Linked DNA regions of Rattus norvegicus. The protein of the gene in region 4 purifies or fractionates together with the protein of the main gene of each other region. This does not show direct contact. Links are inferred from orthologs where the notes say so. Each region holds a gene or a part of one and is shown on either strand. Other genes may lie near its edges.

Evidence for each region.
Region 1: the proteins of Crk (region 4) and Peak1 purify together in Homo sapiens (affinity purification with mass spectrometry; 4 studies listed by BioGRID and IntAct, with this or other methods). This does not show direct contact. The link is inferred for Rattus norvegicus from reciprocal best matches to the Homo sapiens genes CRK and PEAK1.
Region 2: the proteins of Crk (region 4) and Shc1 purify together in Homo sapiens (affinity purification with western blotting; 3 studies listed by BioGRID and IntAct, with this or other methods). This does not show direct contact. The link is inferred for Rattus norvegicus from reciprocal best matches to the Homo sapiens genes CRK and SHC1.
Region 3: the proteins of Crk (region 4) and Dock5 purify together in Homo sapiens (affinity purification with mass spectrometry; 3 studies listed by BioGRID and IntAct, with this or other methods). This does not show direct contact. The link is inferred for Rattus norvegicus from reciprocal best matches to the Homo sapiens genes CRK and DOCK5.
Region 5: the proteins of Crk (region 4) and Sos1 purify together in Homo sapiens (affinity purification with mass spectrometry; 6 studies listed by BioGRID and IntAct, with this or other methods). This does not show direct contact. The link is inferred for Rattus norvegicus from reciprocal best matches to the Homo sapiens genes CRK and SOS1.
Region 6: the proteins of Crk (region 4) and Map4k5 purify together in Homo sapiens (affinity purification with mass spectrometry; 4 studies listed by BioGRID and IntAct, with this or other methods). This does not show direct contact. The link is inferred for Rattus norvegicus from reciprocal best matches to the Homo sapiens genes CRK and MAP4K5.
Region 7: the proteins of Crk (region 4) and Nedd9 purify together in Homo sapiens (affinity purification with western blotting; 3 studies listed by BioGRID). This does not show direct contact. The link is inferred for Rattus norvegicus from reciprocal best matches to the Homo sapiens genes CRK and NEDD9.

What each region holds. Positions count from the first base shown.
Region 1 is NC_086026.1:65,503,809-65,507,256, reverse strand, and holds the end of Peak1 (inactive tyrosine-protein kinase PEAK1), read left to right. Parts: coding exon 1-876; 3' UTR 877-2,214; downstream 2,215-3,448. UniProt on the Homo sapiens protein: Probable catalytically inactive kinase. Scaffolding protein that regulates the cytoskeleton to control cell spreading and migration by modulating focal adhesion dynamics. Acts as a scaffold for mediating EGFR signaling.
Region 2 is NC_086020.1:177,140,994-177,145,261, reverse strand, and holds part of Shc1 (SHC-transforming protein 1), read right to left. Parts: intron 4,209-4,268; coding exon 4,155-4,208; intron 3,870-4,154; coding exon 3,818-3,869; intron 3,655-3,817; coding exon 3,528-3,654; intron 1,753-3,527; coding exon 1,566-1,752; intron 1,478-1,565; coding exon 1,408-1,477; intron 1,328-1,407; coding exon 1,196-1,327; intron 1,057-1,195; coding exon 818-1,056; intron 1-817. UniProt on the Homo sapiens protein: Signaling adapter that couples activated growth factor receptors to signaling pathways. Participates in a signaling cascade initiated by activated KIT and KITLG/SCF.
Region 3 is NC_086033.1:46,221,765-46,226,427, reverse strand, and holds part of Dock5 (dedicator of cytokinesis protein 5), read left to right. Parts: intron 1-116; coding exon 117-242; intron 243-1,725; coding exon 1,726-1,850; intron 1,851-3,035; coding exon 3,036-3,134; intron 3,135-4,663. UniProt on the Homo sapiens protein: Guanine nucleotide exchange factor (GEF) for Rho and Rac. GEF proteins activate small GTPases by exchanging bound GDP for free GTP. Along with DOCK1, mediates CRK/CRKL regulation of epithelial and endothelial cell spreading and migration on type IV collagen.
Region 4 is NC_086028.1:61,027,220-61,032,446, reverse strand, and holds the start of Crk (adapter molecule crk), read right to left. Parts: upstream 3,531-5,227; 5' UTR 3,492-3,530; coding exon 3,251-3,491; intron 1-3,250. UniProt on the Homo sapiens protein: Involved in cell branching and adhesion mediated by BCAR1-CRK-RAPGEF1 signaling and activation of RAP1.
Region 5 is NC_086024.1:20,358,753-20,362,282, reverse strand, and holds part of Sos1 (son of sevenless homolog 1), read right to left. Parts: intron 2,724-3,530; coding exon 2,605-2,723; intron 1,470-2,604; coding exon 978-1,469; 3' UTR 1-977.
Region 6 is NC_086024.1:94,063,918-94,068,580, reverse strand, and holds part of Map4k5 (mitogen-activated protein kinase kinase kinase kinase 5), read left to right. Parts: intron 1-942; coding exon 943-1,015; intron 1,016-3,231; coding exon 3,232-3,363; intron 3,364-4,603; coding exon 4,604-4,663. UniProt on the Homo sapiens protein: May play a role in the response to environmental stress. Appears to act upstream of the JUN N-terminal pathway.
Region 7 is NC_086035.1:23,671,152-23,674,974, reverse strand, and holds the end of Nedd9 (enhancer of filamentation 1), read right to left. Parts: intron 3,470-3,823; coding exon 2,960-3,469; 3' UTR 1,195-2,959; downstream 1-1,194. UniProt on the Homo sapiens protein: Scaffolding protein which plays a central coordinating role for tyrosine-kinase-based signaling related to cell adhesion. As a focal adhesion protein, plays a role in embryonic fibroblast migration.

The DNA.
Region 1 (3,448 bases), on a different chromosome or scaffold from region 4:
AGAAGCCATGTCGTGGTCATCACCAGGGAGGTTCCCCATCTCACTGTGGCCGACTTCGTGCGAGACTCTTTGGCACATCATGGGAAAAGCCCCGACTTGTATGAGAGGCAAGTGTGTCTGCTGCTCTTACAGCTGTGCTCTGGTCTTGAGCACCTCAAGCCCTACCACGTCACTCACTGCGATCTTCGCCTGGAGAACTTGCTGCTTGTCCAGCACCAACCTGGGGGAGCCACCCAGTGCCCTTCACCTGCAGACCCCTGCCCCACCTCAGCTTGTCCCACAAGACTCATTGTGAGTAACTTTTCTCAGGCCAAACAGAAGAGCCATCTGATGGACCCTCAGATCCTCCGAGACCAGTCCCGCCTTGCCCCAGAGATCATCACGGCCACCCAGTATAAAAAGTGTGATGAATTCCAGACAGGCATCCTCATCTATGAGATGCTGCACCTGCCCAACCCTTTTGATGAGAACCCAGAGCTGAAGGAGAAGGAGTACACGCGCACAGACCTGCCTCGGATCCCTCTCCGCTCCCCGTACTCTTGGGGCCTGCAGCAACTTGCCAGCTGTCTCCTGAACCCCAACCCTTCTGAGCGCATCCTCATTTCTGACGCCAAAGGCATCCTCCAGTGTCTGCTCTGGGGCCCCCGAGAAGATCTCTTCCAAATCTTCACCACCTCGGCAACCCTAGTACAGAAGAACGCTCTCCTCCAAAACTGGCTGGACATCAAGCGAACACTGCTGATGATCAAGTTTGCCGAGAAGTCCCTGGACAGAGAGGGGGGCATCAGCCTTGAAGATTGGCTTTGTGCTCAGTATCTGGCCTTTGCCACCACAGACTCCCTGAGCTACATTGTAAAAATCCTGCAGTACCGTTAATGTGGCCTGGGCGTTGCTTTTATTGTTAAATATCGCCACCTTTTTCATGTTGTCCTCATTCCCTGTCCTGGTACTCACTCAGAATTCAAGGAAAGAAAAGAAGCCAACTGCCACCCTTGTCCAGGAACATAGGGCTTCTTTCAGCAAGGTCACCAATGGCTTTCCACAGAGTGAGCGGCTGAGTGTCTCTACTGTACAGGAATTCAACTGTGCAAACATGCGTTGCCTTCCCTTGGAACATTTGTCATCCCAATTGGCTCACAAATGTGGGGTAAAAAAATGAAAATGCACGTCCATGAAGGACCAGCTCCTGTGGAATGATCTCAGCAAGCTGCATCCGCCTCTTCCAGAACTCTGAAGCTCACCTGTACTAACTAGCTAGCAGTACACATGTCACCAAGCTCAGCTGTCACCCAGTAATGCTCTTGCAGCAGATTCCTCTTCCTCAGTGACTGCCTCTTTCCTGGGAGGACATGCCATTATCCTTCTCGGCTGAGTTTCAGTCACTGGGGACTAGCGTCTGTTCCGCCATACCATGAAAGGAGGAGAGAGATTCCCAGCCGTTAGATCATGGGTCTGTTTCCATTTTTGTTCTTAGCAAAGGTTGGACACTGCATAGACAACCCCACTGCCACTGCTTGGCTGTCCTTCACCTTCACCCTGTCCCACCTGCTAAAGTTGGAGTTTATTATCCACTTCTTGTGGTCCAGTACAAAGCTGACCAGAGGTGGTATCACCAATGCCTCAGCAGGATGGAGTACAGTCCACAGATTATGAATAGTGGGCAGGATATGAAGAAATAATGTCCTTATGTGCAATTCTCCAGGGGCCCTCAGGGAACAGACTTTCAAGTACTGTTCTTTGATTACTGTCAGACCTATCAGCATGGTAGCCAGGGCTGGTGGTGCCTGAGTCAGAGTTTCTTCCCCCGAAAGCAGTCATTGGCCAGCTTCCTTCCATCAGTAGCTGGTACTAACTAGTCTGCCAAATGCTGTTAGCAACAGCCCTGAATGAAATGGTTGTCAATTTAGCATTACCGTCACCTTAGAAAGCAACTGGTAGCCGGCTATTGGAAGGCAAGGGGAACGGGAAAGGCCACAAAAATGGCTGACCTGATCCTTGGAGTGCCAGCCTCTTCCAGAAAGACTGCCTCCCAGAGTGAGTGGCATGTCGCTCCTAAGACTGCAGTGGGCCTGGAGCTCAGCTCACAGGAAGGCTGATGGCTGCAGTGGATGACTGAGAGTTGTTCCCCATGAAGCCTGTGCTCTCCCGTGAATTATGTGCAATTTTTGTATGTATTTTTAAGCTGTATATTACAGTGTTTATGTTGCAACTTTACCTGAGTGAGAACTGCAGAAACATTCTTGTCTTCCCTTGGCACATACTTGCGCTGAGAGTCAAGTATCCTTTCCACCTGTGTGCGTGTATGAACGCTCATACACTTGTTTTATTCAAAACTGTGAGTCTCTGTTTACTTCAACCTTGAAATCCCAAGAGTCACTTGAATGGTAAGTGTGTAAGCATGTGTTACTATGTGCATGCACATGCTGGAGATAGGCCTCTGGGAAGCAACCTGTAGTGGGGTGGACAGATCAGTTCTGTACACCTTGACAGTGAGGAAACCCAGGAAGCCCTCGCCCACCAGCTCAGAATTGGCTTAAAGCCAAGACTGACTGTGCAGTATTATTTGGGTGGCACCTTAGTGGCCTTGGAAACTTCTAGACTTTTAACATTTTTAACAGCCTTTCATGTGATTCACCTTTATCAAAGAGGATCAAAAAAGGAGAATGTATTTTATTATGCATTTTTAAGGAGAACGATATGTATGAGGCTGCATATGCAGGATGGCTTTGCGATCCTGGCTAGTGCTCCGTACTCCCAGGAAAGAGGCCTAGTTTGCCCACAGAGTCTGTCTCTCCTAGACAGAATGACCGTGGAGTGGGCAGCCATGAGTCATGGCTACACCATGCCCAGCAGGCTAGGGTTTGAGTCATATAGCCCATGTACACATAACTTCCCGCCTAATTATGCACTGAACTGGTGGCAAAAAGACCACTGACCACGTCAGCTGGCCCAGCCCTTCACTTCCCACAGTGCTTGCAGATTGAGACATACCTTCTCCACATTGCTCTCATGGTGCCTTGCCCATGTAAATCTGAATGTTGATTATTTAATGAGGTTACATATTTAATGCAGAATGTTCCCTGGTCCCCTCTGTTTGTTGTCTGTAGAAATCTCTCTTTTTCTGTTTGTTATCTTAGATGCAGCCTTCTTTCACACTATAGTAGAAAAAGCGTGCACACGTCTGCTACCACTGTCTCCCTGCACTGGTAAACTGAGCACTCTTCCTTCCACGTGACTCCCACTAAGAATTACGGCCACACTAGTGAGGGACAAAGATGAAAGCCAGCTAACAGGAAAAGGGCCTCTGTCTTTCCAGAGACAGGAGTTAATTCTGTCTGGGGAATGGCCACAGAATGGGTGTGGGGAAGAAGGTTAGATCAGAGCAGAGACAAGAACTACATTTCTGGGCAAGAAGTCCATCAGGTGGTCTTTCATTTCTCAAAATAAT
Region 2 (4,268 bases), on a different chromosome or scaffold from region 4:
AGCCTTTAATCGCAGCACTCGGGAGGCAGAGCTAGGGGAGCTCTTGAATTCGAGGTCAGCCTGGTCTACAGAGTGAGTTCCAGGGTTACATAGAGCACCCTGTCTTGAACCCACCACTACTCCTCGCCTAAGAAAAAGAAGAAGAGGAGGAAGAGGAGGAAGAGGGTGAGGAGGAGGAGGAGGAGGAGGAGGAGAAAGAAGAAGAAGAAGAAGAAGAAGAAGAAGAAGAAGAAGAAGAAGAAGAAGAAGAAGAAGAAGAAGAAGAAGAAGAAGAAGAAACCAAGGTTGTATGAAGTAGTACAACAGGTTAGATTTGTTAAAAAGAACACTGAGTGTGAGGCTAAGGGGCTCCATCCAGAGATTCCGGACTCCTCTTACGAGAGGAAATTTGGAGTCTCTACCCCCTAACCATCTGACACGGGGCATCACTACCTTTCCAGTGTCATTTCCTCACTTAGTAAAGAGGGTTCAGATCAAGTAAACACTCTGTAGGTCAGGTAGGTTTCACTGGGATTTTTTTTTTTTCCCGGAGCTGAGGACCGAACCCAGGGCCTTGAGCTTGCTAGGCAAGCGCTCTACCACTGAGCTAAATCCCCAACCCCTTCACTGGGATTTGAGGTCTGGTCAGAACTGAAAAAAATACAGCTCAGACTCAAGGACAGCAGGGAAGGAACTTTGAGCCACTGCAGGCTGATGCAAGTAGCTAGCAGAGCAAAGGAGGCCCCCAGAAAGTCTCTATTGAAGAAAGCCTAGAAAGCAATAAGGAGAGGGCAAGGTACCTTTCCTTACCACCCCCTCCCATACCTGTCACACTTACCACACCTTCAGGGTCCACCAGAAGCAAGTGCTTGGGCTGCCCACTCTGCAGACCAGTGAGCACGTACTGGCCAGGTGTGGTTGTACTCTCTCGCACCAAGAAGTCACCGTTGAGCTGCAGCAGCGCCTCAGCCTCCCGCCGGCTGAGTTTCCCATGAAACCAGGACTCCCCTTGGAGCTGCTCAGCCATGGACATGGACTGGGGAGCTGGCGGCACCCGGAGTGCATCTTCGAAGGGCTCTAGGGGTGTAGAGATGGCTAGGAGAGCGAGCTTGCCCAGTATACACCCAAGACCCAGGCTCAGTGGGGAAGCCAGACAGGAGACAACAGGCAGAAAAGAAGAAACAACAGAAGGTGGGGCTACAAGAGACTCACTCACTCATGTCAAAGAGGTCTCGGGGTGCACTGCCATTAACAGAAGGATTTGGGGGTCCAGCCCCACCACCAGCTTGCCGGGCCTTGTCTAGATTCTGGATGTTGACATAGGAAGGATCATCGAAGAGTTCTCTGCCTGTTAAGGATAAAAAAAGACAGCATCAATCCCAGCCCTGCCTTCTGTACTCCTCTCTGTTCTATCAGCAGTGTTCACACCTGGGCACGGTGGTGGAGGCAGCATCTGTTTACGGACTTCATGGTCTCCTGTAACATGCTGCCCTATTGGCTGTAAAAAAAAAGAAAACTGGGTGAGAGCAAGGCCCTAGCCAGCCATTCCCACCCTGGCCTTAAGTATCTCCACCCTGGCCCCTTACCAGTGTAGCTCCCAAGTGGCTGGGCATCTGGGTACTGGGCAGAGTGGGTCGAGCAGCCCCTTCCCGAAGCCTCATATCTACCACTCCACCAAGAGGGGGTTCCTTCCCTGGGAAGTCATTGTAGTACTGATGGTCAGGGGGCTCTTCTTCCTCCTCATCCCAAGCTGAGCCATCAAAGCCAGCCATCCTGAAAAAAGAAGGAGCGAGAGAAGAGGTAGGTGTAAATACGGAGCTAGGAGACCCAGGGAGGGAGGAAACCAGTGACCACATACCAGCATATACTGTGGTCAGCTCTAAGGCTTGGTGCTGTAAGACTGGTATTCCTTCCACAATTTAAGAAATTGCAATAAAGATTGGGGTTGGAGAGATACATACAAGGTCTCTCAACTGAAAGGAGATAGATTTGAGATTTAATTTGGTTTTGAATTGAAAACTCTCACTTTTGACAGCTATGCTACCTCCAAAGAGGGATGGGAGCTCCATCAAACAGAGAGGGATGGGAGCTCCATCAAACAGAGAGGGATGGGAGCTCCATCAAACAGAGAGGGATGGGAGCATTATCAAACAAAGGGAACATCCAGAATGATTTCACATACAAAGCCCCTGGTGGCCACATTGTTTATCTCTTGTGACTTTAAGAAAGCAGCCTGGGGATCTCAGGTCAGAGGTGCTGGGGCTGGGGCATAGCTCAGTTGATAAAGTCTGAGGGTCAGAATTCAGATCCCCAGGTTCCATGTGCAAGCCAGACCACTTTTCCAATGGTGGCCACCTATAACCCCAACACTCTTGAGGCAGACAGGATCCAGACCAATCTGGTTGCTGCTAGCTAGATCTAGCGAGCTCCAGATCAGAAAGAGATCCTGCCTCAATAAAGTGTGAAACACCAGAGGAAGACACCTGACATCAACTTCAGACCTCTACACATACACATACAACATATGCCCCACACAGACATGCACACTCGCACACACGCACACACACACACGTACATACAAAAAAAAGAAAAAGATAGTCTCTTAAACCAGATTCTTTTTTCTTCCTTTCTCTTTCATTCTTTCTTCCTCCCTACTCCCTTTCTTTTTTCCTTACCTTCTTTTTAGTTTTTTTTTTCTTTTTTTTTTTTGTTTTTGTTTGTTTTTTGAGACAGTGTTTCTCTGTGTAGCTCTGGCTGTCCTGAAACTCCCTGTGTAGACCAGGCTGGCTTCAAACTCAGAGATCCACTGTCTCTGCTTCCTGAGTGCTAGGATTAAAGGCCTGATTACGATCCAGACTCATTTGAGTGTCAGAGGCAGGAAAACACAGAACAATGAACGGGGGAGTACGGTGCTCTGGGGTTAAGAAAACTGCTGACGTTGCAGAGGACCCAGGTTTGGCTCCCAGCACTCACATGGCAGCTCACAAACACCTGTAATTCCACTTCTAAGGGATCCAATGCCCTTTTTTGGCTTCCATAGGCAATGCATACACTTGTATATGCAATAAATTACACATATGCATAAAATAAAAATAAATCTTTAAGAAAAGTGAAAGTGTACAAGAACACAGGGCTAGGCCAAAAATGAGGAACTTAAAAATTAAATGTTGGGGGGCTGGGGATTTAGCTCAGTGGTAGAGCGCTTGCCTAGGAAGCACAAGGCCCTGGGTTCAGTCCCCAGCTCCGAAAAAAAAGAACCAAAAAAATAAATAAATAAATAAAAATTAAATGTTTATCCAGTAAAAAAAAGCAGTCTGCTGAGAGGTGCTGGACTAGAACTCCACCTCAGGCAAACAAAAGATAGAAAGTGTCCCTGCAGCAGGCCTTCAAGTCTTTCCCGATGAGCCAATGGAGAGCTAACACAGCAGGAACAGGGTCATATAGGTCACATCTTTTCTGAACCCCTTGTAGCTCAAGCAGGAGAAGAAATCCACTTCTCAACCCCAGTCTGAGGCTCAAGAGCTGCCTCATCCTCTTCCACAGCTCACCTGTCATGGGGGGTGACCAGCTTGGGTGGATTCCTGAGATACTGTTTGAAGCGCAACTCAAAGGCCTGCCCGATGGTGCTGATGACGTCCTGAGCAAGTCCTTCAGGACACTCCAGGATATGGCAGGCTGGGCACAGTGGAGACGCCAGTGAACTGAGGCAGGGTGCTAGCAGAACATGAGGGCAGGAGCCCCACCCCAGCCCTTCCCAGCAGGATAGCCCTATCGAGTATAACTGATCACTTGCTTCTCAGAGAATTGGTCCCACCCAGTGCTGTCCCCCACGCCTCACCTCTCTGATTCACAGGGTCTTTGGCAACATAGGCAACGTACTCAGCTGTGTCCTGGGGAGGGCAGATCCAGGAGGCCAGTTAGCTAGAGTTTACCTCCTGACCCACTAACTCTGTCCTTTTTACATATTTCACAATCCTTGTGCACCACTTCTTTAGCCAGTATTTTCTCCCTCCCTCTTTTGGTTTTTCAAGAAGGATTACTCTGCATGGCCCTGGCTATCCTGCCTCTTGAGTGCTGGGATTCTTGTGTGGCCACCACTCCCAGCCTCTAGCCAGCATCATTTCAGCCCCTAGTTTCTTCTTCCCCACCCGTCTTTTCTCTGTTCCCCAACTCACCGGATCCCCACCAGACGCGAATGAGATAGATTGCATGTGATGGTTGGCAATGATCTGATGAGGGCAGGGTGGAGAAGGAAGGAATGGTAAAGGTCAGGCAGCCTCAGGGCTCCA
Region 3 (4,663 bases), on a different chromosome or scaffold from region 4:
GATTATATGTTGGTCATGAGGTGTCTGGTTGGTCTCATACAAGCTTCTATTCTATGAGCCTGTTGCAAAGATTATATGGTGAACTGGAAGGTTGTCCCTCTTTTTCCCCCTTACAGGTCTTTGGGTGTCCTTAAAGTTATTGCCAGGTGACCTCACACAGGTTCAGAAGAACTTTTCACACCTGGTGGACAGATCAACAGCGATTGCTCGGAAGATGGGCTTTCCAGAAATAATCCTGCCAGGTATGCACTTTGCCCAAGTCTCATTTTGTGCTTCTTTTCCATGGCGGAAGAAAGGATTACCTCAACTCGGACAGTTGAGGCAGTATGGGTCCTTAAGAGGAGGTCTTTCAGGGTTAATGGCATCAAGAAACTGGTGACAGAGTCACAGCACCATCAAGGACTGTTCAGGATGCAGGACCCAAAAAACGCCACTCAGCACCTCAGCATTCTCAGCTCACCCTTTCCCATCCTGCTCTGCAGATGTTTTCCCCAACTTGACTTCCTTCTCGGGGAACAACCCGGTGGCCCAGTTCATAGGAACTAATCCATGACAAAGAGACTTGTGGACAGCTGGTACCACATCACATTTGGAAAGCTCTGGAAAACCAATTTGCCATGTAGCACATTAGAACAGATTTTTCTGAGAGTCAATGGGATCTTTTCTTTCCTTCAGGAAGTCAAGGGGCAGTAGTAGTTTTCCACACGCCCATTACCTGAGAATGAGGGTGTTTTAATGAATACTCAGAATGGATGAATAAACGTTGCTGTAAAGGGGGGCTGCTGTGTCTTCTCAGAAGAGCAGGTTCATCCATCACAAAGCTCTTTTCACTAACTTCAGACACACCAAATTTTGGGGGAAATTATCTTTGGTCCCCATCTGTAGCACAAGACTCCTATAGACTTTAAGCCATCTAGACATCCACTTCATCCATCAAGACTCCTGCCTTCTCTTACACCCCCAATAGATCACCCTCTTCTTTCCTTTTAACCAATTATCTCTTTCTCGGTGTTCAACTGCCTATGAATACACTGCTGGCATTCCTGGGTTGTGTCTCCTCAGGAACCGTGCCCATATCCAGCTAGCTGCATGAACAAGAAACCTGAAAGACACTATTAAAAACCTGCTGGATATCCTAGCAATATCTAATGTATGCTTATTATTAGACATGTATCCTAAATGGGACAAAGAATTGGATCTCTGAGGTGGCTAAGTAGGTTAAAAACTCTTACCATACAACCTGAATGATCTGTAGAACCCACATTAAAAAAAAAAGCCAGGTGTGGTGGCTCATAGCTGCAATCCCAGCAGTCCTACAGCAAGATGAGAGGCAGAGGCAGAAACAGGAGAATCTCTTCAAAGCCTGTGAATGCCGGACAGCAGTAGAAATAGCAAGGGAGACACTGCCTCAATAATAGGTGGAAGGGGAAGACTGACTCCAGAGAAATTATCCTCTGGCCCACAAACTCATGCTGTGGCATATACATGTATGTGTGTGCACACTTATAAAAAAAGGTATTTTTTACAAAAGCATGCACATCAGAGACACCTTGATGTGTAGTGAGAGGTGGACTGAGAGAGCAGTCAAGACTTACGTGGAATCAGCAGGCCATTACCAGCAGACCGTTGTATATTTACATTAGTCCTTGTGTGTTAAATCATGGAACTTTAACTTTGAAGTGAGTTTCTCTCAGCAGCACTCACAGTAGGCTTGTCGTGTTTTAGGGGATGTTCGAAATGATATTTATGTCACCCTGATCCATGGGGAGTTTGATAAGGGGAAGAAGAAGACACCCAAGAATGTGGAGGTGACCATGTCTGTGTTTGATGAGGAAGGCAACCTTTTAGAGGTATGTAGCACTCCCCACAAATCTCATCGCGTCGCACCTGCTCTGTGGTAGCAGCCAAACGCTGGTCCAACTTATTGTCAATTCTCCCCATATGGGGAGGGTCCTTCTTTATCTGGGTTTTTGTTCTTACTTTTATTAGTTTCTGTTTTGTAAGAAAGGGTGTCATTAGGTAGCTGAGGCTGCCTCAAACCTGTGATCCCTCTGCCTCCGGGTGTTGGGATGACAGGCGTGTACCAACATGTTCAATACTTTCTCTTAAGGAAAAAATATATAAAAACTAATAAACCCGTGATTCTCAGTGGCTATTTTTACTCCGGGAGCTACTTAGATATATTTTGATATTTTTCTCTGTGCAGAGAGATATCATGGGCCACTTAAACTTTAGGACCTTTGACATTTTCAAGTGGTATGGCTAATCTCAGCTTGAGCACCATGCAGAGGTGTCCCAAAGGCCTTGACAGGCACACTGCCATCACCTGGGCCAGTGGAGCCCATGGACACCGACTTATCTGAAGGAATACTGTGACACTAAAGGCACCCTTGGTGTAGGATGGCAATGCTGATTTCCAGTGTTAGTCATTGGGAACTTGTACCCAGAGTAGAGTTCTTTCCTCTGGAATTGCAGATGTCAGAGACAGAGTCGAAGAGTTTCTCTGCCTCTGGCAGCTTTCTGGACATCTTGGTTTTGACTTGAGAGAGTTGGGAGGCACCGGGTGGCCACCAGAAGCCTCTGTCACCTCCATCTAATTGCTCTAGATGTACAAGTGAAAGTCTTGGCTCCTGAAGCTCTCTAGATGTCCTGAAGTAATGCTCTCCAAATGTTCGGTCCTTGTTGTCCATAATTCAACCATTATGTTTCTTTAAAAGCAGAAAACTGTACACATTCAGTAAAAACCCTGAAATTCATGGTATGCAGGACTTGGGGCTGAAGGGACCCATGTGGCATTTGTTAACATTAAGTGGCATGACTGCTGGCTAGGAACAGCATACACCTGCTGCCACAGTGTCATCTCGCAGTATAGTGTGGATGGCTGCTGGTAGACTTCTCAAACTCATCATCATCAAAGCCCCTGACTTTGGGTTAATTTTTGGATGATATACATTCAGAGACCTTGTTCTGTTGCCATGTTTTTCATATACTAGATGACCTAGTATCATCTCCTAATTGTGTCTTTCCAATCAAAGAAAGCCATTCATCCTGGAGCTGGGTACGAAGGCGTCTCAGAGTACAAGTCCGTGGTGTATTATCAAGTCAAGCAACCTTGTTGGTACGAGACAGTCAAGGTGAGAATTCTAACTCCTTCAGCTATTGACCCTTGTTTAGATTCCTGTCCGCTTTTTAAACCCCAAGTCAGTCTTCAGATATCTGAAAGTTTCAGATTGTCTGCAGAAAGAAATAAACCGGGGATGGACTGGAATGGGGAATATAATCAAAATGCATCGTGTGAGATTCTCAAAGAACTAATTTTTTTCAAAAGCTGAATCAGCAGTTAGGAGGTCGTTAGAGCATCCATTTTATGAAGCCCAAGATTCTGACAGAGTATTCTTATTCACAAACGTATAGCGACTGGACAAGAAAAACTTGTGGCTATAATAAGGCAGGGGCTGCCAAGATGCTGCAGACAAGCTAAGATGTGCGCACTCCATCATCGGCTTCCCAACATGTTGTTCTTGTTGGCCCCTGTCCAAGTGTTCTGGGCCTCTTCGCTGTAAGGAAGGGTTTCATGAATTGCAGAATGCTTTCAGATCCTGAATCCCCTGTGGGCTCACAGTGGCCTTGAAACTGGACAGTCGGGTATTACTCTGACCTCTTTTTGAAGAGGCAGCAGACCCTAGGAAGAGAAGTGACACCTCAAATCTTGGAGCACCTTGGGGTCAACCTAAAACAGGTCACATCTGAAGTCTGGGCTGCTGTAGCGCCTACTGTCAGCATTGGCAGGGTCCTATGAGTTGTAAGCAGAAAATTCCAGAAACTGAACATTGTCCAAATATCTGTTAGGTAGCGGTTATTTTTCACATCCCTCTGTAGTCTGTGTTTTTTATTGTGCTATTCGTGTGAATTCATATTGTGCTGTTTTTGAAAAACAATTTCTCAATCTGTAAACTCTGGCTGTCCTAGAACTTGCCATAAAGTTCAGCCTTCCTTTGAACTGGCAGAGACTCACCTGCCTCTGCCTCCCAAGCACTGAGACTGAAGGCACAGACCACCGCTCCTGGCTGTGTTGTGGTTTTTAAAGCTACTTGTCTTGGGCATTGTGAGCTCCTCAGAAATACGTTTTCAGTGACTCTAGAGATAACCCTGACTAATAGAGAGACTGGTGCTATTGCCCTGTCTTCCTGTAACTTACTGCACTACCGTCAGAGAATGTCCCCACCCAGGTATCTTCTCTCCTCACACAGATACTAGTAACCACTGTATCTGCAGGTGACTTCCCCTTGGAAGGGTCCGAGGTAGACCTCAAAAATCAGGTCTTATCACTCTGGATGCCAGGCGCATAATGTGTCTTAACTCTGAAACTGTGATAAACAGCAGAGCCATCTCCCTCTGAGACACTTTCAGCTTGGGAGTGGTTATGAGAAGGAAGCCTGCTAGCACAAGGAACTTGTGCTAGGATAAAATATAAAGGCCAAGTCTAAAGTCTCTTTTTCTCTGAATAGCTAAGAGGGAGGATTTTAATATAATCACCCTGAGCCAAGGGTAAAGCAATAGATATGCTAATTATTCTGATTTGAACAGTATAAAACATGCAAAGTCAAGACATCATGCTGTACCATGCAAATGTATATGGTCCAGGATATGCGTGCATTGCAGC
Region 4 (5,227 bases):
TGCTAGAATGAAAATTCTATCAATTGACAGAAGCTGGGTACATCCCAACTTCTCATTCAGTTTAGAGGCCTCTATCAGTCAAAGTCTAGTCCTCGATCATTTCAAGTGGAGGAAATTAGTGGATCAATTCTCCCAAGTCTTCTCTTTGAAGCCCACCTTGCAGAACATGACCAGTAAACTCCAACAGACTTCCCCCTATAGCTCTGGGGCACAGTAAAGACGTTCCTAGGCCATCATCATAGCTTAGATCATCTGTGGGAGCTAAACATCTATGCTAGGTTCAAATAGGGTCATTGAGCTGGGCCGATGGCTCATCCTAACAGGGAGACAAAGGCAGGAGAAATTAGCCTGGTTTGGGGGCTGGAGAGATGGCTCAGAGGTTGAACACACTGACTATGCTTCCAAAGGTCCTGAGTTCAATTCCCAGCAACCACATGGTGCCTCACTACCATCTATAATGTGATCTAGGCACACTCTTCTGTCATGTAGGCAAAACACTGTACATAATAAATAAATCTTTAAAAAGAAAGAAATTAGCCTGGTCTACACAGAGAGTCCCATGTCAGGACTACAAAAAGATTCTATCTCAAAAAATAAGTGGGATAATGCAACAATCCCTGGCCTGTCTTACCCACATGCCTCTACAGTGTGTGCACACAAGTGTAATCAGTTCTAGGCCAGCCAGAACTACAGTATGTGCATGACTGATGTGAGTCTGTGGAAGTCAGGACAACTCTGAGGTGTTCCTTCTCTTATCCAACCCCGGGATTGAGGATCAAACAAGACCCTCAAGCTGGCAAAGCTGTGCTTTTGCCTACTGAGCCACTCTGCGGGATCTCAGAGCACTCAGATGGCAGAAGCAAGAATTCTCCTGAGTTCAAAGCCAGCCTAGTTTATATGGTTGCAGACCAGCTAGGGCTGCAGAGTGAAACCCTGTTTCAAAACAAAAGAATGGAGTTCCCTATGTGCACCCCAGGGATTCCAAAGCAAATAAACAAAGAATACCAAAATTATACAATAGTCAGTTCTCAGGTCACACTGTCTAGTTCAAATTCTGGTTTATATGCTAAATGTTACAGGTTACTGGATTTCTAGTTCTTCTCCCCACCTCCAAATGAAAATGTTTTAATAAATGGAGATTGCAGAATTTCACTCATTGGATTGTTTTACTGATGGTGAATTATATAAGGCACATTTAGCAAAGCATGTAGCATACAATAGTCAGTCAATAAGTGTAAACTATTAAAATTATATATGTCTCTCTAAAACTCAAGTAATTCCTGTGTGGCTTCAAAAGAAAAACAGTTTAATGGATGGCAGAACAGCGATTAAGTGACCATCATAAAGACAGCAAGTGAATTGAGTGTCCTACAGAGAAAATGGGGAACACGACAGAACAAATTGCCACAAAGCCAATGAACTTTCCACACCTAACCCACAAACTGGCAATCTTCTCCTCTCCTAGGCCAAACACCTATTTTGAAAAGGTGGAGCTACCGAGATATAAAACCACAAGCCTGCCTGATGCTAGTCCCACATTTTCAAACAAGGAGAAAACTGAGGACCGAGTCCCTCACCCCCAGCTATTGGGAATAAAACCTAGCCTCCCCAAATGTCAGGCAAATAAACTACCACTCAACTATATCCCTAGTCACACCCCCTAACATAACTTTTTATTTTGAGGCAGAATCTTGCTAAGTTTCCCAGATGACCTGGAACTTGTAAAATCTTGCCTCAGCCTCCTAGGTGCTGGGATTAAAAGCATGAATTATGAAACTTGGCTGAGAATTGAATTTCAACAATAACATTTCATCTTACTACTGCCCTTAACACAAAACAACAGATTATTTTACAGATAGCACAAAAATAGAATTTACTATGTTTAGGGCAATTGTGTTGTATCTGATTTTATATTATTAAACCAACAGACACAAAAAGACTAAGAAGACTTCAGTACTCAAATTTTCCCCTTACTTGTGTGCCAACACCAAGAACTGTTTATCCCACCTCTACCTCCTCATTTGTGGCCAAAGGGAGTAAGTCTAAATTAGGATGATCCTAAAAGGAGGTCTACTAAACGGCTAACCAGGGAGTCTCCATTCATGAGATTAGCTCAGCTCTAGGAGGAACAAGCTTGCACTTCAAACATCCAGAAAGCAAGAAGCTTGGTGCCAACACACAGAGACAACAGTAATCTCAGAATCACTGTGCATCTCACAAACTTCAAGGACGAAGTGCATGAATTTCCTTAACATTGCCAAGACAACTGCAATAATACAGCTGAGACAATTACAACTCAATGGTCCTCGATGAGGAAAACACAGCGGGATAATTATTCTTGGTGTATCTGCCAGCTAGGTCTGCTCTCATATCCTGGAAGATTTTGACCACAGCACCAACTTAGCAAGAAAAGACCCAGAAGTACGTTGACTGACACTGTTTAAGCCCAGGAAGAATGAAATTCCATTCACTTCCAAGGTTGTTCTCCCTGGCCTATGCTTGGTTTATTTCCTAAAGGAAAAAAAAAACCTTCCTCCACTAATCACTTTGAAACTAGAAACTCTACGTGCAGCGGGCAGTCTTTTGGACACTTAAAACCTCTTGGACACAATTTGCCAGCTAGGCTTCAATTACGCTGGGCTGGTCACAGAAAGCTTTTTTTCTATTACCAAGTCACTTAGTTCACCACCTTCCACAAGGGAAGAGCACGGTAAAAAGATTTTGGAAAAATGCCCAAGAAAGGAAAAAGCTGACCGGCTTCCTGAGGGTGTCTCCATCCCTCCCAGCCAGCCAAGTACGTGGTGACTTCCTACCGAAGGCCACCAGGGGAGTATGGCCAAACCCAGCTCTAACACTGCAGGAAACGTTTCAAGCCTAAAAGCCACTTGTAGGATTAGCAGATCCATTCTGGGCATCTCTGCCAAATGATGTCCCCGCAACATCCCCATTAACTCTTTGTCCCCAAGTTGCCTGGCCCTGCCCTGCCCTGCCCTTGGGCCTGACCCTGGCGCCCAGCCCCACCCCGGGGCCGCAGCAGTTCCCCTTCCCCGGCTCCCAAGGCACACCCAGAGGCCTCGGTGAGCAGCTCCTCCTCCCCCACAATCCCGCTCATCGGTGGGAACCAGCTTGGTCAGAAGGCAGCTCCCCCGCCAGGTTCACTCCAGCCCTCTCTGCCCACGTCCCTCCTGCAGCCGACCAGGGTTCTAGGGCCTTCACCCCCGCCCGGGCCTCCCGCCCGTCTGTCCCTCACCCGGCGGAGGCTGAGCGGGCGACGGAGGCACTGGAGGGCGCGGGCCGCTGCTGTTGATGATGTAGTGGGAGACGCGCGAGTTTTCGGAGACGCTGAGCACATAGTCCCCGGGGCTGGTGCTCGAGTCCCGCACCAGGAAAACCCCGTGCCGCTGGCCCTGCAATAGCGCCACCGCCTCCTGCCGGCTCAAGCGGCCCCAGTACCAGCTACTCCGCTCCTCCGAGTCGAAGTTGCCTGCCATGGCCGCCTCCGCGCCTTCACGCTGGGCCGCCGCCGGCACGCGCGCCCCTCCAGCCCTGGCGCCCGCCGCCCAGCGGACCGGCTCCGGTGTAAGCCTCCCAGCAGCGCCCGAAATGGCGGCGGCAGCCGCGGGCCTTCCCCACCGGAAATGACGCGCTCTCTACCCGAGGGAGGCTGCCGGGAAGGGGACCGCCGCCCGCCATTGGGAGAAGGGAAACGGAGTCCTTGGGGCCCGCAGTGCGCATGCGTCCTCATGGGCGTCGCCGCCCGGTCCAGAACCCCAACGGCGGAGGATGGGGAGGCGGAGTCTAGGTTTAAGGGGCGGAGCCTCAATCTTCAGACTGACTGGTGTTTGACTAACTGGTGTTTGACAGATTGGTAGAGGCGGTCTTTCTCCCAGGACCTACAGGTAGCAGCTCCAGTAAAAGGACTGGAGTAAAAAAGATGATGTGGTCCCAGGATGCCCTCAAAGCTCCCTAACAAGCTGGTCTTTCCCGGTGTTTCCTTCGGTTTCCCCGGAGGTCAGTCGAAGTTCTTGCTATCTAGGAGTAGCCATAGATAACACATTTGCCTTGCAGGTGCAGTACTGACCTAGACTGAGCCTTAAGTCACCGAATTCACAGACCAGTGGGAGGGATCAGGAAACCATTAATGTCTGCTGTGATGGGAAACAGAGACACAAGGAAATCAACTAAGTAATCCTAGAGGAATCCAAGGGCCGGGTAAAGTGACTATGACAGTAATCCCAACCCTTAGGAAACTGAGACAGGAGGATCACTGTGTTTCAGGCCCTATATTATAAAACGAAAGCAAATAAGAACAAGGAGTCCACAGATGAGATGGTGTAGGTTGAATGGTTCGGTGTTGAATGGCAAGTGGGGAAGGGTACTTAAGGCAAAGAAAACAAAATGTCCAGCCAGGCAAAGCAATGGAGTTCTCTCTATGGGAGCTCCCATGTCAACCAGCCAGATCCTTTTAAACTCTCATTTGTAGCCAGAGGAATCTCCTAGTTTCACTTCCTTCATGATCATCATCTATCTCAAAAAAAATTTTTAATGAAAAAATACTGGGGAGTGGGGTGTTCAGGATAGGGTTTCTCTGATAGCTCTTGCTCTCCTGGAACTCACTTTATAGAGCAGGCTGACCTTGAACTCAAAGATCCACCTGCCTCTGCCTCCCCAGTGCTGGGATCAAAGGTATGCACCACCTCTGCCTAGCCACTACTACTGCGTTTTGTATATAGTGAGACCCTGTCTCAAAACAAAACTAAAGTTATCCTTGTCCTAGTCAATAGCTCAGGCCTTCTAGAACTTCCACCCATAGCCTGAGCCAGCCCTGGGAGAGACAGCAGGGGAAAGGGCACCTTCCCTGTTATCAGTGACTCATCTTGGTCTAGCTTAGTCACCGGAACCAGCAGCAGAGGCCATTCAGTGTAAATTCTGGCCCTTTGGGAAAAAGGGCTACCCTTTCTCCCTTTTCAGGACAGCTGAGCTTCAAGGCAAGACCTTAACCAGAGACTCTGGGAAAGTCCAAACCCAGCTCTTAGGATAAGTGAAAAGGAAAGAGAGATTTGTTTTGCTTGCTTGTTTGTTTAAACAAGGTACCACTATGCAGTTCTGGACGGCACATCAGCTTGGCCTCAAACTGGCAGAGACCTGCCTGGCTTTGCCTCCCCAAGAAGAAATATGTATTCATTTACCATTGCATAGTCTTATGTATCTCAGGCTGGCCTCCTTC
Region 5 (3,530 bases), on a different chromosome or scaffold from region 4:
ATATACACATGATTTAGGCGATGCAAGGTAATTCTAGGTATGCTAACTGTTCAACTATTAGTGAAACACAGAAGGTGTCAGGAGCCCAGCGTGTTCCTGCTCACATTGGGTGCCTGCGTTTCTGTGGACAGTTAGAGGGACAGCCACAAGCCAGGACAGATATTACCAGTAAACGTCTGAGGGACAGAGGGGCTGGGGACGAGTCTAGCAGAGATTAACAGTCTCCTAAGTGTGGATAGCATACTTGACAGTTACGCTTTAACAAGTTCCTCTTCGATCATGTTCATGACGTCAAAGTTTTTGTTTGAAGGCAACACCACCACATTTTATTTGTGAGTAGGGGTAGGTAGGGAATGTTCCTAAAATTGGCATAATTATTCTTAAAACAATAACAATAACAACAAGTACCTCTTTGGTGAAGCCTCGGTACCCACTCGGTTCACTGTAGTAATCTGTAAACAGGACTGCGGTACAGTGCTGGGCCTTGGTTCCCACAAGGCCAGGCACCACAGCCTTTCTCACAGTCCTCTGAATGACTTGTATGAAAACATTCTAAAGCAGAAGAGTAAAGCAAAGGAAAACAAAGGAGGAGGAGATCCCTGTTTAAGAGTTTTTAAAAGTGCATAATATTTTGAATTACAAAGACTGTCAACATATGGGCCTGTTGGACACGAGACCGTTTTCCATCCCTTCACAATGAGGAGGGCTCCTGCCTATTGGCCAGGAAAGTCCCCCCCTCCCCGTGGTGTCCAGGTGCAGTCAGACGTCCAGCTCCTCTAGATCAGTCTCACCCTCTAAGCTGGAATACCATCTCACCTCATAGTTACGTGTAGGTTAAAATCATTGTCTTACTACATGTTGAAGTAGAGTCGTTAGTGTTTGGAGTTCTCCTTGTAACTCCTCAGTGCTGGCATGTTCAGTGCATCCATTGCCAGCAATGGATTTGGGTTGGGAACTGGGTCCCAGTTTAGAGGAACTCAGGAAGAATGGGCATTCTCCAGCAGTGGCGGTCCATCTCTGTGCATGGATGGGTGTGTGTGCTCCCTTTTGTAAGTTTTTGGAGGGAGTTTGGGGATAAGTTGAGAAGTGCTTTGCCGTGGAGGAACGGGAGGCCCAGCAATGGAATGGAGGTCCACTTCCTGTGTCAGTGGTGGTGATGGCAGATGCCTTCTCGTGCCGTGAGGAGACGGGGTTTGAGGAGGTGGCGGTGTAAAGGGGGATGGGCTGTTTGGGAAGAAGGCATTGCCATGGTCACTCTTTTTGCCCAACGGGGGAGGTTGGAGATGTAATGGCGAGCTTGAGAAAACATCGGGTGTCCTCACAGGTTCTCGTGGTGGTAACAAGGGAGGGCTCTCGGGAGGATCTGATATAGAGGTCCGATCTGATATTGAGTATCGTGGTGAATAGGCTTTCGATGTGGGCTGCCTAGGAGGAATCGCTGGGGGGCTATCCAAGTGCTTAGACATAATCTAACAAACGAAAAAGAACAGAACATGTTAATTTCTTTTGAAGAGCACCATAAATATAGTAAGTTAATTTGGAGTTTGTTAATTTGGAGTTTTCAGACATGCTACTGGCAGAATGTACGGTACAGAATGTGGACTTTTACCAAATATGTTAATCAAGATGGTCTGTCCACACGCAGGGGAAAAAAGAAACTAATTTTGTCAAGATTAGCCAAAAGTTTGTTGGTTACTACTGACTGCCTATCACACAATGCACTAAATTCTAGTTTAGCACAAACTATCCATTTCTTTTTTGCAGTGCTAAAGATTGAAGGCAGTGTCCATATTAGGCAAACAAACTACTATAGCCCTGTTAAGTTTTAAATGTATTAATTAATTAAATGTTTTAAAAGTATTAATGTTTCATGAAATCTACAGGCCTTGACTTATCCTGCTGCTTCTGTTCTCTAGGTTGCTTAAGACCAAATAGAATTATTGAATAACTTGCAAAATAAACAATAAAAGGGGGAAATTTAAACAGGCAGGAAGTCTCATTACTATATGTCTTTAGGATCTAAATTAAAATCTAACCTAAAATTGAAATCTCTCCCTATCTGGCTCAGATCAGAGAGTAACTTTCAGCAGATACTCAGTACAGATGCATTTATCATATTCCTTCACACACGCGCACATACACCCCCACACCTTCCCCCCAAGTGCACACACACCCCCACCTCCCCCACACGCGCACACACACCCCTACAACTCCCCCACACCTCCCCCACACGCGCACACACATTCGGGTCATTTTAAAAGAACTGCACGAAGGCTGAAGAGATGGCTCAGCTGTTGAAGACGAGGTTCACAAGCAAAATATAAAGAACCACACTAAGCCAAGTTACTGTTCACCACCTGATAGATAAGACTTGGTTTTTTTTCTCTTGGTAATGCTCATAGCTTTAAAAACTTATAGGGGTTTGCATGCATGCCCAAACTGCCTTTATAAGAAAAGACATAAACATCTTGCATGATAAATTTATACTTAATATTTGAACTGTTAAACCTAAGTGCTCTGAGACACTAGCCTATTCCAGCAAGAGGGAGAACTGACAGTAACAGCTGACACAGCCACATCTACATAACCGGTGCTTGGCTTTACCTTGGATGGGGAGGATTCCGCTGGGGCAGACTCTGGTCGTCTTCGAGGGGGGACAGGAGGAGGGACAGGCACTTCCTCGGTGCCCTTGGATAAACTTATAGATGAGACTGAAGCAGATCCTGTAAGGGTTAATTTAAAAGAGAAAAAAATTATGGAACTTCCATTTATTACTCTTGAAAGGACTTAGATGGAAATGGTACTGACTAAAGAAACGTGCTGAACTATCAAAAGCAGTTTAATAAACCAATACCCAATACTATTCCATTCATTAAAATAAACTGCTATAAAACCATGCAGAAATTTCTTAACAATCTTTTTTTAAAAGAAAAAGCTGCCTAAAATAATGGTTTTTTGGAGGGGATTTTTGTTTCTTTTTGCACTTTTTGAACAAAATAGTACTACCATTGTTAATCTATAGTTGGAATTTTTAATTGGGTTAATGTTCAGATTTCTGTTGGAAAGGTAATTTGAAAAAAATCTTTGAAATGGTCTTTTTTTTTTTTCCTTTAGTTTTATATTGTTCCCAGGGTACCGTGCCCAGACTAGATAGTTTCTAGGGATAGTCTCTGATCTTGGCAGGGCTATCTCTCTTATATAACACAAAGGAGAGAATCTGCTGCTTCCTGAAGCCTATTCACAGTTTGCTTGGGTCCAGACGCCCTTAGCATGTAAACAAGATCAGAATCATCACATCTAATCCAAAGCTGTTTAGAATGTCTACATAGAAAACCATTTAGAATGTCACAGGGCAGGGGTGCTCTGACAGTGAGAACAGGAACTTTCTAAAATCTAGTGATCCTGTGTAAGACCAAGGTGATGGGATGCAGAGAGGAGTCATTCAGTGGTGAAGGCACAAGAATGAAAGCACAACGCAGGCCCGAATACTTACGCTCTGAGAGACAACTTTGCTACCATTAGTTTATAAA
Region 6 (4,663 bases), on a different chromosome or scaffold from region 4:
TCCTAAAGGAGAAAACTCTCCTGAACTTCAGAAAATCTCTTAGGTGAAGAAAGTCCTATTCATAAAGCTATCAGTCTTGTTACTTATGGTAGAAAAATACAAACCCATGGAATACTTTCCAGCAAATCATAAATATTTATGAAAATATGTGAGTAATCTGGTATATTAAATAGCAACAATGAACTAAATAGTATATTTAATTTTTATGACTATCTTAGATAGGGTTTCATTGCTATTAACAGACACCATGACCAAGGCAACTCTTATAAAGGAAAACATTTAACCTGCAACCTAGCTTTCAGGTTCAGAGGTTCTGTTCATTATTGTCAAGGCAGGAACATGGCAGCATCCAGGCAAACGAGGACCTGGAGGAGCCAAAAGTTGTACATCTTGATCCAAAGACAGACAGGAGAAGACTGGCTCCCCTGAGGCTAAGAGGAGGGTCTCAAGGTCCGCCCGCACAGTGACACACTTCCTCCAACAAGGCCACACCTACTAATAGTGCTACTTACTGGGCCAAGCATATTCAAACTTCCACAATTACCGTGTTTAATAACAAATATAAAATTTTATGTACATAAGAAAATATTCTAAAAAGTAGCAACAAAGTAATAACCTTGTACTGTTTTAGAATTCAGGTGTATGTTTTCTGCATGTTTTTAGTTTTGTCATTTTCCCCCCAATTAACTTCTTTGTGCTTGTAATTAAAATAATTTAATTAGCCTAATACAATACATTTTTCATTCTAATAAAATTTTAGGAAATTGTCTTTTAATGAATATGTCACAAACCAAGTAAGGGCAGATCTTAGTACTAAATTTATGCACAGTTCTTGACATTAATACCTAAAATATTAATGATGCTGTGCCAAAGGTGAAACTTAAAAATGCTAGTTGTGTCAAAAAGAACTCAACCGATTTTCTGCTCTTTTTCCCTTGCCAGCTGATTTTGGTGTGGCTGCAAAGATCACAGCTACCATTGCAAAGAGGAAGTCCTTCATCGGCACCCCTTACTGGTGAGGCCATATTGCCATAGTCCTTTGTCATTTCTTCATGCTTTGCACTGAACCCTAATTCTTGCTTTTTAACTGTTTATTGCTTCTCTGTGAGTTTCACATCATGCACCTCAGTATCACTCATGTCCCCGTCCCCTCATACCTGCCCTTAACCCATGCAACCTCCCTCCCTAAAACAAAAAAATCCACAAACAGGCACAGAAGACAACTCATTGTGGAAGCTATAGTGTGTCACAGTGTGTCCCACAGTACATTCCTCCATCCACACATCTTCACTTGCAGATCTGAACCTTAATTCTTGATAATACAAATGACCACCAATGGCCAAGAGACCTGAGTGCTACTGGATACTTTCCTGGGCTTGATTGTGCTATGGGACTTTGATTCTTCATAGCATCCAGCACGATGAAGGTCTATGTAGAAAAATGGAGTTCTCAAAAGAAAGACTTCTTGTATCTCTTCCAATCTTCGGTTTTAATCAAGGACTATACTTCCCGTTGTTAAAACCTACACATCTGATGCTGGTGTCCCGCAGCCCCACATGTGTGGTGTGGCCTGGTGACTACCACAGTAATTTCTCTAAAACACTGCCAATCTTCTGTTGAGGTATAATAGAAGACCTCACATTAAACATTGAGTGTGAGCCTAACATGTGCCTGTAATCTCAGAATTCGGGAGGCTGACACAAGAGGACTGCTGTGAATTTGAGGGTAACCTGGGCTGTGAGACCCTGACTCAAAAGAAAAAAAAAGGCAACAGAATCGCTTAATATTTAAAATAGTGCAGTGAACACCATAGCAGACAACATTCAAAGTTTGCGTTAAATGTTGGGTTTGTTTGTATATGGTGTTTGGCTAATTTATTATTTTGAAAGTAATTTAAAGTAATTCTATACCTTATAAATAATGCCAAAATAAATTGTGTAAGGGGATTGGAGAGGTGGTTCAGTGATTAGTAGCACTGGATGCTCTTCCAGAGGATAGAGTTAAATATGAAAGTAAAATAGAGCTGGGCATGGTGCCGCACAGTCTGTGAGTGTTAGGCCAGCCTGGACACAGCCAGTCAGCATTACATAGTCTCAATGTGCCCATATGTCCCCTGGGTAGTGTCACCTACACCTCATGTGATCACCGTGTGTTTTGAGGTTTTTGGATTTTGTTTTGTGCGGGGAGGGGGGTATGGGTGGTGATTATTGAGACATGATATTCTTTGTAGCTCTGGTTGCCCTGGAACTCGAGATAACTCCTGCTTCAGCCTCCCAAGGGCTATAGTTACAGGGGATTGCTACCACACCTCTGCCTGCCTGGTTTCACTCCTCTCACTGTGTTTCACGGTGCCGTGAGTTTTTGATTAAGCTGCCTCCATAATTATGTCTTTCAGTGGGTCCACCCCATTTTCACAAGGAATTCTGAATTCACTTGTATAAAAGTTAGGTGGTTCTTATCTGGACCCTACCTTGGCAGTTTGTTTTCAATGTAGTTTCCAGACTCCCTGAGCCCTGAGTTGTGAAGATGTTTTTTTAATTTCAGACCAGATTTACACTTTTGTAAAATGAATTACTAAAATTTAGTAATGTGTTTACACAAGAGAGGGCTCCTCTGTTTCTGTACTCGTCCCAAACAGTAACAGGCTGTGTGTGGCTCTTCCCAGGTCTGCGTCACAGGTGAGTCCCACTGTGCCCTCCACTCTCCACAGCCCCCTGCATTTGCTGGGGTTTCCTCTGATGTGTGCAGGCACACCTTACCCTCAGCTTCCTGCTGGCTTTTTCTCGAGGTTTCCCCTCCTCTGGGATCATTGGCCTGCAGGTGTTAGCATTCCTTAACACAGACTGGAGTAGAGCAACAGTGTTCTTGGAGCGCAGGATTCAGAAGAGGAAGGGAGGATTTTTAAATAGGGAATTTTCCTTAATTTTTAATTTTTTATGGTTTTTGGTGTGTGCGTGTGTGTATTTTGCCTGCATGTACATGAGTATACCACATGTGTGCCCATGGAGGTCAGAAGAAAGCCTCAGATCCCCTGGAGCTGGGGTGCTGGCGAATCCCTATGCAACCAGTGCACCTAGCCACTGAGCCATCTCTAGCCACCAGAAATGAAATAGGGGAATGGGGCAGGGTGGTAAGGCTTCGTTCCTTCTTCCATCTATGAACATAACAAAGAGTATCGTGTTTTACATCATTTAAGAAAATAACAAGTGCTGTGCTCACTGATCCGTCTAGGATGGCTCCAGAGGTGGCAGCGGTGGAAAAGAATGGCGGCTACAACCAGCTCTGTGATATCTGGGCAGTCGGGATAACAGCCATCGAGCTTGGAGAACTTCAGCCGCCTATGTTTGACCTTCATCCAATGAGGTGTTCTCATTATTTACAGCACGTTGGGGATGAACTGCTGATTCCTCGGGGTTCCGAGCTCGTTTTCACGTGTATCGCACTAGTAAAGTACTGTAAGGGCTCAGAACTAATGTCGTGTAACCTGCTCGGGTCTGGGGAGCTGCCTCACTGTGGAGGCTGCTTTCTACACAACTATAGACCTATGCTCGGAACCCTAGCACCCTTATAAAAGCTGGGGTGTCGGGGACAGGCAGATCCCCAGAGTTTTACTGGGCAGCCTTTCTAGACAAAACAAAGCTCCGGGGTTCTGTGAGAGACCCTGTCTCCCAAAATAAGATGAAGAAGAGTAAAGGAAGACAGCCCTCTGCACACATGGGCAGGGCGAGCACGCTCTCATTCATTGCACACAGGTGAAAGGTAAACACTGCACACATGGGCAGGGGCGAACACTCACACATATACACTGCACATACATTCATGGGCAAGTTCTCCTTCCTCTCTCAAAGGTGAATTCATAGAGCACTCTTGTAGGTTAGCTTGTAAACAGTAAGATAGTATAAGAATTTATTGTCCAAATAATATCAGGAAATGGATATAATTTGCCAGAGTAATTATAAATGCTAGGCTTTGCTTAAACCTAAAACTTAATTTTAAAGTAATGTGTCAGTGCTGTGTAATAAGCAAATACACAATTACATAAATATGCCTGCACTGTACTATGAGCTGTACAGGTAACTGTGGTAAGGAAGTGTACATTTTACGGCCTTATTTTGTGAATAAGGCCCTGTTTGACATTAAAGATCTTTTTTAAAGCTAGCAGAAGTATTCTAGAACCTTCCCAAAACATGAAAAAAGCCAAGGACTGCAGCAGAAGTGCTTGTCTGGCTTGTGCAAAGTCCAGGGTTTGACCGGCGGGGTCGTCAAAAAACAAAACATAAATATCAAAAAATTCCATGTCCGGGCTGGAGAGATGGGTCAGCAGTTAAGAGCACTGACTACTGTTTCAGAGGTCCTGAGTTCAATTCCCAGCAACTACATGGGATCCTGTGCCCTCTTCTGGTGTGTCTGAAGACAGCTACAGAGTACTCATACAAATAAAAATGAATAAATCTTTTAAAAAAAAATTCTATGTCCAAAGCAATGTCTTCAGTGCCTTTCCATGAGGAAGTCTTACACAAATTTACAACAGAATGTTCAGTCTGACTATTAATTGCAATGATAAAGTGTCTAGTATTGCCTCTAACTGAAGTTTCTATTTCAGGGCTCTCTTCTTAATGTCAAAAAGTAATTTCCAGCCTCCAAAGCTAAAGGACAAAACTAA
Region 7 (3,823 bases), on a different chromosome or scaffold from region 4:
CCATAGAGATTTTGTTGACTTAAGACATCCCCGCCCACCCCATTGCCCCAAAGACATTCTATTCTACCCACAGGCAAATCTTATTTTTGTCAAAAGTCATTCACCACCTTTATGTCTAGACAAAATGATAAAGATGTTGTGATTTGATTTTGAAATTTCACCCACGGGTGCACTTATTTGAACACTGGATTCTCAGCTATCGGCATTATTTTGGTAGGTTGTGGATACTCTGTAGACACAGATCCTAGGGTGGATGTGGGTCTCAAGAGTATTAGCCCCATTTGCAGTCTGGCTGAACCCTCTATCTGCTTCTTGATTTAACAAGACGCTCACAAGCCATGTTGCAAGTTCCCACTGCCAGGAACAAAGCCAATATCCAGACCTTCCAGGATAGACAGACTGTCCCCTCTAAAGTGCAACTCAAAAGAAATCTCCCCTCCCTTGCTTCTGTAAGACATATGGTGGCAATCACAAGAAGAGTAATTAATGTCCGGATGTATTTAAGTGCTTTCTACATCTCAGAGGGTTATCTGAGTAAAAGGGAGGGACGCTAAAAGTAGTAATTCTCGTGGTTAGGGAATCTTTCTTCTACTATAACTTGCTTTGAATCATTTCTTTATGCCTATTCCAGAATGAGTGAAGAAAGTCTACTCTACTTGAGTAGTCATATCCACAGAGTAGAAACAGAAATTATCATGCCCACATTAAATGTGAGGGTGCTGTAGCCAGACGTAGTGGGTCACACCTTTAGTACAACCCCCTAGAGGCAGATACAGGCCGATCTCTGTGACCTCAAAGGCAGCCTGGTTTACATAGAGTTCCAGGCCAGCTATGACTAGGCAGTTAACTCCTGTCTGTGGGCATTTGATACTGAAAAAAAAAGTTTCGGATATATTTTTTTTTTTCCCGGAGCTGGGGACCGAACCCAGGGCCTTGCACTTGCTAGGCAAACGCTCTACCACTGAGCTAAATCCCCAATCCCTCGGATATATTTAATTTGATGCTATCCTTATGCTCTAGAATTTTCTTTAATACAAAGGTACTGGGGTAACATACACACACTTTTCCTTAAAACAGTCAGATCTATAGCATATGTTAAAAAAATCATAATTTGACTTTCTATACTCAGATGGGGCAATATTTAATTCTTCCGTAAGACAGATACAAGGAAAAGAAACCCAGTAGCTACAAAGAGAAAGATTTAAACATTTAATGACTTGAATATACAAAATGTCAATCATCATTACGAATTGAATAGTTTGTTTTTTTACAATGTGGAATGTCATTACTCAGGTTAGGACAAGGTAGCCATCACTCAACAGACACACGTTGTGTAGTAAGATCTACAAGGATACCTTGACTTTTTGCAATGGCACTAATGCTGCAGGACCCTCTTCCTCCACATGCCAGACACAGTGAATTGCTGTCCAATAGTCCAGCTGTTTATCTTCTGGCAGTGCAGAACTTTGAGAATTACAGCTATAGTTTGTTTTGAAAAGCACCCTTCCTTTGCTATCTTCCACTTACTTAAAAAAAAACAAAACAAAACAAAACAAAAAAAAAACAACTGAGATCACATGTTCTTCTTAAGTCCCTCCTTGTTTTTGTCATTTGGTTGCTTAAAACAAATAACATTAACTCAGTCAAGACATATCCATAACAAATAAAAACACGTTTCTGAATAGGCTGGAATGAAATAGAACAGAGGCTACAAGAAACATATTTCTTGAGTTGGTCATAATGGAAGAGGGAAGTGCTTTATCTGCCGATGATGAATCTGTTCTGAGCTGTATCTACACAGCAGGTGTGAAGGGAAAGACCACAGGATCAATGCTGTGAGTAGCTTACAGGTAATGTGACTTATCCACAAGGTCCATGGCCACAATGGGTTGTGAAGGTCAGATCTCTGCAGCTTTTTTGAGTGTTGGTCTGCTTATGTAAGGTTTTAGAATGGTGTAGAACATTGCTCCATCAAGCAATGAGAGAGGACAGCGCCTGGTGGCTCCATAGTTCAGTGACTAAGAAACTGGCCATTTTCATTAGATAATGAGGGTAGAGAGGTCTTTATTTAACTACTGGCTGTTGGAAACATCCCTTCTTTTTGCCCACAATCACAGTTCTGATGTATCTTCATGAATTCTTGTTGCAATTTTTTTTTTTTAAATTCAACTCTAAAAACATCCATTAGAAAACCTCATGACTGAATCACTCACAAATGTAGCCCCAGGGAAACAAATGTTCTCTCTTTATTATAGTTTCTCTCAGAACTGAAATAACTCAATAACCACTGTAGACATGGCCTCTTAGTACAGCACACATGTCTTGCCTTTCTCTAGCACCTGAAACACTGGATCTTAGGTTAATGTTTTTTTTTTTAATCTCTCTCTCTCTCTCTCTCTCTCTCTCTCTCTCTCTCTCTCTCTCTCTCTCTCTCCTCACCCCCTTTCAACTAGAAGTTGGTCAGATTTACCACTGTGTTAAAGACAAGTCAAGTTTAAAAGAGATTTCAGACAAGAAAGTTGGGTGTGCTGGGCTCAGACTACTACTACTACACGTAGAGTAATATTACAACTAAGTAGTATAATTTTTCTACAAAACCCAAACAATGCAGCATTAGGTGCTTACTAAGGTGCTTCTCAATTCATGGTTTTAATGGACTGTATCAGACACACATCTATAAACAAATACGGATACGTAGGCATACACAAATGTGGACACATTTCTGTACAACTTATGTCTTAGATACTTATATGTTTATATAAGAACCACACAGGGGAAACAAAATGAATTCCCACTTCAGCTCCCTGAATTGATGAAAATCGACTAACTCACAAAACATTAAAACATTTCAATTTCATATAAAATATCTACAAAAATAGATAACATTTACAAAAACTAGATAGTATTTCCAGTTTTCCTTAGTAATTATTCAACCAGTCCTTTCTACTTCCGTGTCTTCTCAGAAGGTGGCCATCTCCAGCAAGGAACGCTTGAACAGTTGAGCATTTCTGGACAGGTCTGTTACTTGGTGCACCATTTCCTGTAAAGCCGTAGTGCTCGGGTAGTGGAGGGCGGCCATCTTGGTCGCCATCACAATCGTCTTGAGCTGTTCGCAGAGCTGGTTGCTGGAGTTCCTGACTTTGTTGCGAATGTCCTGGGCGGCCACCTGCCTTGTCAGAGTGTCTCCAATGAACACCAGTTTGTGTGCACTGAGAATGACAAACTTGCTGTGCGCCACAAAGATCCGCGGGGGCTGGGCTGAGCTGACGCAGCTGAAGAGGGCGTCAATGGCATTGAGGAGGGAGATGAAATGGGTCTCGCATTGGTCATAGTAGAAGCAAAGCAATTGCCTATCCTGAGCACCCACACTGTTGTTTGTGGTTGGGAGGCTCTGAGAGGGTTTCCATTTGGAAATGTCATTCTCCACGGGCTTGGTGATTTCTTGTTCTAACAGCTGGAACTGACTCAGCTAGAAGGAAGAGAACAGATCTCATTAAGGGCAAGGCATACATTGTAAAGGGAAAGAAATGTGGGTGTGAGATCACAAGAAACCAGCTTCATCTTTAGTAGGTGCTAGGTACTTAGTAGCTGTGAGACCTTGCCCAGATTGCCTTGCTTCCTAAATTGTACAATGTAGACTCTGAGAAGAGGATCTCTAGAGGATCGTCCAACATAGATCTTTTGTTATAACACCATTTGTCTTTTTTTTGCATTCCAACTGGAAGGCATTGGCTTCTATACCATTATGACAAATACTATTATTCACAAAGCGAATATTACTATTAGTCACACAGTGTTTGAAACAGTGTTTGGTGAATTATAG